2 linked regions of the Oryctolagus cuniculus genome follow. The protein of the gene in region 1 interacts with the protein of each later gene in a pairwise test. Links are inferred from orthologs where the notes say so. Each region holds a gene or a part of one and is shown in the gene's direction. Other genes may lie near its edges.

The links.
Region 2: the proteins of HOMEZ (region 1) and DNTTIP1 interact in binary tests that used the Homo sapiens proteins (3 or more experiments, as listed by UniProt). The two-hybrid records come from large-scale screens. The link is inferred for Oryctolagus cuniculus from reciprocal best matches to the Homo sapiens genes HOMEZ and DNTTIP1.

What each region holds. Positions count from the first base shown.
Region 1 is NC_091443.1:51,744,431-51,748,339, forward strand, and holds the start of HOMEZ (homeobox and leucine zipper protein Homez), read left to right. Parts: upstream 1-1,242; 5' UTR 1,243-1,277; coding exon 1,278-1,392; intron 1,393-3,909. UniProt on the Homo sapiens protein: May function as a transcriptional regulator.
Region 2 is NC_091442.1:13,601,914-13,605,822, reverse strand, and holds the start of DNTTIP1 (deoxynucleotidyltransferase terminal-interacting protein 1), read left to right. Parts: upstream 1-1,453; 5' UTR 1,454-1,523; coding exon 1,524-1,628; intron 1,629-2,143; coding exon 2,144-2,214; intron 2,215-2,644; coding exon 2,645-2,741; intron 2,742-3,909. UniProt on the Homo sapiens protein: Increases DNTT terminal deoxynucleotidyltransferase activity (in vitro). Also acts as a transcriptional regulator, binding to the consensus sequence 5'-GNTGCATG-3' following an AT-tract.

The sequences.
Region 1 (3,909 bases):
TCCTTCCTTCCTTCCTTCCTTCCTTCCTTGAGAGACAGCTCCTGTCCATTGGTTCACTCCTCAAATCTCCACAATAGCCAAGGTTGGCCCAGGCTGAAGCCAGGAACTGAGAACCTAATCCAGGTCTCCCACATGGAGGGTGAGGACCTAGCTACTTGAGCCATCCACTGCTGTTTCCCACAGTGCTCATTAGCTGGAATCTGGAGCAAAGCCAGGACCTGAACCTAGCACTCCAGTATGGGATGTGGTCGTCCCAAGCAGCGTCGACCACTAAGACAAATGCTAGCCTGGTCATTTCCTAAAAGTCCTGCTCCGGGGCTGCTGGCATATCGCAGCAGGTTAATCTACTGCCTGTGATGCCATCATCCCCTATGAGCACCAGTCTGAGTCCCGCCTACTCCACTTCTAATCCAGGTCCCTGCTAATACACCTGGGAAAGCAGCCAAAGATGGCCCAAATGTTTGGGTCTGTGCCACCCCCATGGAAGACTTGGATGGAGTTCCAGATTCCTGTCTAGTCTGGGCCAGCCCAGGCCATTGAAGCCATTTGGAGAGTGAACCAGCAGATGGAAGATCTCTCTCTCTTTTTTTTCTCTTCTCTGTGTAACTCTGCTTTTCAAATAAATAAATCTTAAAAAGTCCTATTCCTTTTCTGCTGGAGTCCTCTGGCTGTTTGGAAGTTGCATGGAAGAAGACCACGGGAGAGATGGGCAGCCATGGTTTAAGACACCACAACAGGATCCCTCCACCCTTTTGGGTAGTGGGAGCATAGTCAGGGCCTGGCTCTTCAGTTCCCTGGCACCCAGCACCAGCTGTTGGTGTTGTTAAAGGAACAGTCTGGGAAAACTGTTTCTGCTTTTCACAGGGGATTCTTCCTCTTTTAGGGGGTCATCTCGTTACTTTCTGCTCTTGAGTAGTGGAGGGAAGAACAATGCCCTTCCCTAATAAGGGGTTACCCTAAAACAAAGGGTAAGACAGCTAACGGAGGGGAAAGGAAGGCAAGACCTCTGTGGAATCCAGAATGGAGGGATAGAAATAGATAACAGAGGGAGTCCTTGAAAGAGCAAGTTCTCACAGGATTGGCTCCCACATCACCTGAGTGATGAGAGAATCCAATTACCACAAAGTAATGAGGTGACAGCATTCCTAGGAGGCAAGCCCCAAGCACGGAATGCCTGATAGCTCCTCCTTACATCACAAAGGCCGACCTGTGACGTCATCGCTGCCCAGCCCACCGCTCTTCAGTGTGCTCTAAGAGTGCTGAAGGGCAGGGTCAGCATGAGGAGCAAACACCCACGGAGAGGTAAGGCGGGGCTTTCCAGGGCTTCTCTCCACGGCTTCCTGCCTGGAGTCGGAGCCCCAAGCCCTGCACAGACTCCTCACGTCTTCTGGGGTAGGTTTGAGCTCCTCCTGCCACAAACTCCTTCCGCGTTAACTTTCGCTCTCCCAACTCTGTCTCCAAGCCTCAGTACTCGCAGGTCTGAGTAGTCGGCCGCCTCACTGCCTGCGGCTCTGGTCTTTCTAGGAGACAGGGCACGAGCACTGGAGCAGAGTTCCCCTAAGGAGGCAGAGACTCACCATGGCCATCTGGTAGTCCTAGGCTGGAGCCAGGCTTCTGGGTACCTGAAGTATGCAACTTTTGGAGCCCCTTTAAGAAAATTAAATACAAAATTATGATATTTTCAGAATGACAAATTACAATTTTTTAAAAAGCTGCCAAATATCTGCCTAAAATTATTCATATTTCCACTTTTTTTGCCAACAGCCTTTGATAGCCTTTTCGTATAATGATTGTATGTTTTCTATGAGTCTTCTAACATGATCACTTTTGTATTGTTAATTTTAAAAAATTTTGCCCCCATGCCTTGTGATACTTTCATAAATGTTTAGAATTTTTGTCAAACTTGGTAAAACCACTATAAAATTTTGGAGCTTTTCGAATTTGTAATGGCTAATGTCATATATTCTGAATTGATAGTATCAAGAATAATGGGAACTAGCCGGCGCCGCAGCTCACTAGGCTAATCCTCCGCCTGTGGCACCGGCACACTGGGTTCTAGTCCTGGTCAGGGCGCCGGATTCTGTCCCGGTTGCCCCTCTTCCAGGCCAGCTCTCTGCTGTGGCCAGGGAGTGCAATGGAGGATGGCCCAAGTGCTTGGGCCCTGCACCCCATGGGAGACCAGGAGAAGCACCTGGCTCCTGGCTTTGGATCAGCGTGGTGCGCCGGCCGCAGCGGCCACTGGAGGGTGAACCAACGGCAAAAGGAAGACCTTTCTCTCTGTCTCTCTCTCACTGTCCACTCTGCCTGTCAAAAAAAAAAAAAAAAAAAAAAAGAATAATGGGAACTATAAATATTAGTTTGGGGGCAGGCACATTTGTAGCACAGTGCTTAGGATGCTGCTTGGGGCACCTGCAACTTGTATGGGAGTGCTTGGTTCAAGTCCTGACTCTGCTTCCAATACAACTTCTCACTGATGCACACTCTGGGTAGCAGCAGTGGTGGTTCAGGTGCTTGGATCCTTGCCACCCACATGGGAAACCTGGATTGAGTTCTGTGCTCCTGGTCTCAGCTTGATCTCTGCCTTTCAAATAAAAAATGGAAATAAACATACAGGCAGGCATTTGGCTCAGAAGTTAAGTCAGCAGCCGAGACACTCCCGTCTTGCATCAGAGTGCTTGTTTGGAGTCCCAGCTCCTCTAGGCTCCTCCATCCCTGATCCAGCTTCCTGCTAATGCACACACTAGGAGGCAGCGGGTGATGGCTCAAGTCCTTGGTTGCCTGCCAGCCTAGATTGAGTTCTGGGCTCCCGGCTTTGGCCTAGCCCAGTGCTGGCTATTGAGGCATTTCAGGAGTGTTCCAGCAGAGGGAAGATCTCTCTTTCTGACTTTCAAATAAAATGGCAGTAAATACACATTTTTAAAACATATAAGTAATTTAATTTTTCAGGGCTGCCATACAAAAATAGCAGAGACTGGGTGTGTGCTAAATTTGTTTTCTCAGTCCTGGAGACTAGAGGTCCAAGACAAGGGCACTGGCTGAGCTGACTGCATCCTGAGGCTTCTGTCCTTGATTGTAGAAGGCTGTCTGCTCATGGTCTTCCCTCTGCCTGTGCATCACAAGTCTGTGCCCAGATTTCCTCGTGGAAGGTCAGCAGTCACACTGTGTTAGGACCCACCCTAATTCATCCATCTCAGCTGAACTTAATCACCTCGAGAAACAACCTAACTCCACACGAAGCTACGTTCTGAGGTACTGGGGGACAGGACATTAACCCTAAGTTTGGGAGGACACAGTTTAATCCATAACACTGTATCCACCTGGGGATAATTGATTCTATTCACAGAAGTAACTGCAAAACCCATCAAGTATACCTACTAACCCCACAGTACACGTGATCCCTCCTCAGCTCCCTCAGCCAGTCTCCAAGTGCCCATCACCTCTCTGTGGACACCTGAGAAAGGGACATGTGACAGAGGTCAAGTCAAGAAGGAGATACCAGTCAATTCCAGTTTGGGGTGTTTTTTTTTTCCCCAAGTTTTAGAAAAACCTGTGACGATGTTGGCGTGTTGCTGCAGCTCCTCCAGTGGTGAAGGTCTGTGACAGGGAGGACGCTGCACCTGCAGGGCCTCCAGCTGTAGGGCGAGCGTGCCTCTGGTCAGCCCTGCTAATGTCTGAGCCGTGCAAAGGGCAGATGACAGGCATCACATTCTCCAGTGTTAGTCCCTGGAAGGGCTGGCAGGGGACTGTCCTGCAAAACATGGGACTCTCACCATCAGCCGAGGCTTCTCCCCCTCACCCCGGCCCACCCCAGTCCACTCCACATTCACCAGTGGTGAGGGACCTTTTTTTTCTGCCAAGAGCCATTTGGAGATATATATATACACACACACATATACATGTATACATATA
Region 2 (3,909 bases), on another chromosome or scaffold:
GGACCGTTGCGGCTACTTGAAGAGCAAACTAGCAGATGGAAGATTCATTCTCTCTCTCTCTCTCTCTAACTCTGCCTTTCAAATAAATCTTTTCTAAAAAAATCACTTAAAAACTATGAAAAATCAGTATTTGGGTGTTTTCAATACAAAATGCACCAATACAAATGCACCAAAAACCTGTGTCTGGGTCTCTGTATCCCACATAGGCCGGGATAGGTAGGAAGGCTGGCCGGCAGAGTCCGAGAGAGCAGACTCCGTGACTCCAACAGTGTGGTCGGTCCACAGACGCCCCTTTTATCTCTTCTTCCTCTGTCTCTGTCCATTTTCCTTTGTCCTGCTCTTCCCTCTGTCCGCTGGCACTGCTTAGCCCTGGGAACTGACAGAGCGGCAGACACCAGGCACAAGGCACAAACCTCCTTGACAGTGCCAGGAAGTTTGCCTCCGAGTTAGCAGCTGGTGTCAGAGCGCGGCGGTAAGTGCCACATGTTGATCACCTAATACTCGAATTGCTGCACACATACATATATCTACTGAAGAGCCAAAGTGGCTCCATTTAAAAACGTAAATAAAAAGCAGCCTCTGTTTCCCGTAGCAGACCCGAGTCCTTTGTAAAAGCAGGCATTCAGGCATTCTGGAGACATCAAAGCTTACCAAGGACAGCTCAGCAGACCAAGGGCAGCTCAGTAGAGAGTGCCAAATGAGGTAACTCCCTGCACCCAAGCCAAACAGAGACACGCCCCTCCGACTAAGAGCAACCGGGAACTGCCCTGCCCAATCACAAAAGGCCCGGCACCCTGACGTATCTTCCCTTTAAAAGCGTCCCGAACAAAGACCTGGGCCTTCCTCTGACCTCCGCTGGTCAGATAAGGCCCCTGCCGGGCTTGTACTTTTAAAATAAACCTTGCTTTTGCAGGTCGGTGTGATGGGGTCGCTGATAGCTTCTTGGGGATCTACTTATCTGAGCACAACATCTATGATCTACTTCAATCCTCACTATACTCTTGCAAAACCGATTCCGAGGGGCTGAGAAAAAAATGGCCAAAGGCGGTGTATGGCCGCTAGAATTTCCTACGGGAACGACAGATGGCACCGTTTGGGGGTTTACCCGTGCCAGACTTTGGCGGGCTTAACATGAATCAACTCACTTAATTCTCACCGCGACGCTATAAACTAGGTGCTATTAACCCCATCTTACGGCCGGGGAAACTGAGGCCCGCGAATCCCACAGCTCCTAAGAGGGAGGAACAAAGGCAGGCGATCCAATTCCACAGCCAATGCCCTAACCACCATATCATAACGGATTTCAACCCATTTCTTGTTAACCGCAAAGACTCGCGCACTTGGTGCTACCCCATGGTGCGACCGGAGACTGAGGCGAGAGACGGCGGCGCGGTTCCCCTGGCAACGCCGCGGCGCTCCGCGGCGAGCTTCCGGGCCGGCGAGCGGCGCGCTCCAGTGACGTCACAGAGCCACTTTCCGGCCGGTGGCAGAGTCGGGCAGAAGTTGTGGTGGCCGGGGGCGCCATGGGGGCCACTGGCGACGCCGAGCAGCCGCGGGGACCCAGCGGGACAGAGCGGGGCGGCCCGGAGCCGGGGGATGCGAGCGCAGCTGGGCAGCTGGTTCTCACGGTGAGGACGCCCCCGCTGAGGCCTGAGCTCGGGCCGGCGGGGGCCTCGGGCTCCCGGGACCCTGGCCCGCGGGCGAGAGAACGCGGCGGCTGGTGCTGCCCGAGGGGGTTGGCGTTTTCGCAGTCCCACGACCTGGGTTCAAATTCTGGTGCCGCCCTCCCGGCGAGGTGACGTGGGCCGGTCCTGGCACCCCCCTCTAGGCTGCTCTAACATAAAATGGAGAGGAATGGTGCCTGTCCCTTCGAAGTTGTCGGGGTGGGGTGACAGATGCAGGTAAAGCTCCCGGCACCCGAGTTGCCTTGAGCCGTTCCAGGAAAGGCGGACCTGGGACGTTTGGGACAGGAAACTTCCTCAGGCCCTCTTCCCGGGCAGGGCCTGTCCACCCGGTGGGAGACTTGGAGAGAGCAGCCGAGGTGCAGCGGGGTCCAGGCTAATCCTCGCACGCACCTCCCCCTCCACGCCGCGTCAGTGTCACCGGCTTCAGTGACGTTTGCTCCCTCGCTTGGTCCCCGCAGAACCCTTGGAACATTATGATAAAGCACCGTCAAGTGCAGCGAAGGGGCCGCCGCTCTCAGATGACAACAAGGTAAGGCCGGCCCTGGCTGGAACCGGTCCCAGGGCTGGCTTGGACCGATGCTGTGGGACCCCCACCGCACAAGCCTGAGAAGAGATCTGCAGTCGGGGGAAGGAGGCGCTGTGGGCGCTGTGGCCGTGACCTTGAGCTGAACTCTTCTGCAAAGTGGGGGGGTGGGGGGAACGGCACCCGAAATCCCTAACATTCCCTGGCTCCGGGGTGGAGGGCGCCAAAGAGGTCGCAGAGCCTCGAGGTTGGCATCCCAGGCCCCGAGTCGGACAACCCGACCTGTATTAGCTGGGTGACTTGGACAGGCCGCCTTGCCTCCCTGAGCCTGTTTGTTCAGCGGTCCCAGGGAGCTAGGAGCAGTGTCTGTGTCAGGGAAGGGAGATGGTGCCGCCCCCTGAGCCCCCTGACCGCCTCCCTCCCTCCCTCCCGGCAGTTTCACAGACCCGGCCATCTCCATGGATCTCCTCCGGGCTGTCTTGCAGCCGAGCATCAATGAGGAGATCCAGACGGTCTTCAACAAGTACATGAAGGTGAGGAGACAGGAGGGTGCGAAACTGACAGGGAGAGTCCTGGGCAGCCTCGCCCTTCCCTGCCGCACTGGTGTCTCTCTGTCTCTGTGTCTCTCTCTATGTCTCCCTCGCCCTCACCCTGTGCCCCTAGAATGCTTTTTTTGCCTTTTTTTTTTTTTTTTTTTTTTTGCTTAAGTGTAATATGCTTAGCACCATGTTTGGAAAATAACCACTGTTTTTATTACTTGATATTAACATCGTTATCATTTAAAATTATTTCCTTGGCCACTACATAGCTCTGCCTGAGTGTCCCATGGGTGCTTCAAACTTAGCACATTCAGAACTAAACTCTTTCTTTCGAAGCCTCCTCTTCTGTGTAGTCATGTATTCAAGAAGCATTTACCGAGCGGCCGCCGTGCTGCACGTGCCGTCCTCGGCATTAGCACTGTAGCTGTAAGAAAGCAGACACTGTGCTCGCCCTTTGTAAACAAGTGTGTGTGTGTGACACGAGGGAATGAGAGAAGAGGGGTTGGGAAGGCCCTCCGAGAGGGGGCTTTGTGTGAAGACCCAGAGAGCGTGAGGGAAGAGCAAGCCTGGCAAATGTGTGGGAGGTAAGAGTCCGGCCACAGGGAGGAAGGAACTGGCCGGTGTGACTGCAGCCCGCTGTGCAAGGAGAGTGACTGGTGACCAGAGAGGCGCCCCTCCTGCTGGGAAATCCAGATCCCTTCCCTTGGCGTATGTGGCCACTGTGATGAAATAGCCACCTTTCCCCACGTGGGTCCCCATGCCCTGGGCATGTCCCACACCCCCACACCTTTACAGACCTAGAAATGTAAAAGGGAAGCCACGAGAGAAGGGTAGGCCATACTTCACTGCAGGCCGCTTCCCTGTGGTGGATTTGCTGATTCAGTGTTTCTCTCCTGCACAAACGCTGGGTAAACACAGTCTGTGGCCATGAGCTCCTTCTGATAGCGTCTGTGAAGATGCCTTCTTACCACACTCATTTTTCTTTAAAGATTTTATTTATTTGAGAGGTAAGTTACAGACAGTGAGAGGGAAGGACAGAGAGAGAGGTCTTCCTTCCGCTGGTTCACTCCCCAAATGGTGTCAACGGCCGGAGCTACACCAATCCGAAGCCAGGAGTTTTTACCGGGTCTCCCACGCAGGTGCAGGGCCCAAGCACTTGGGC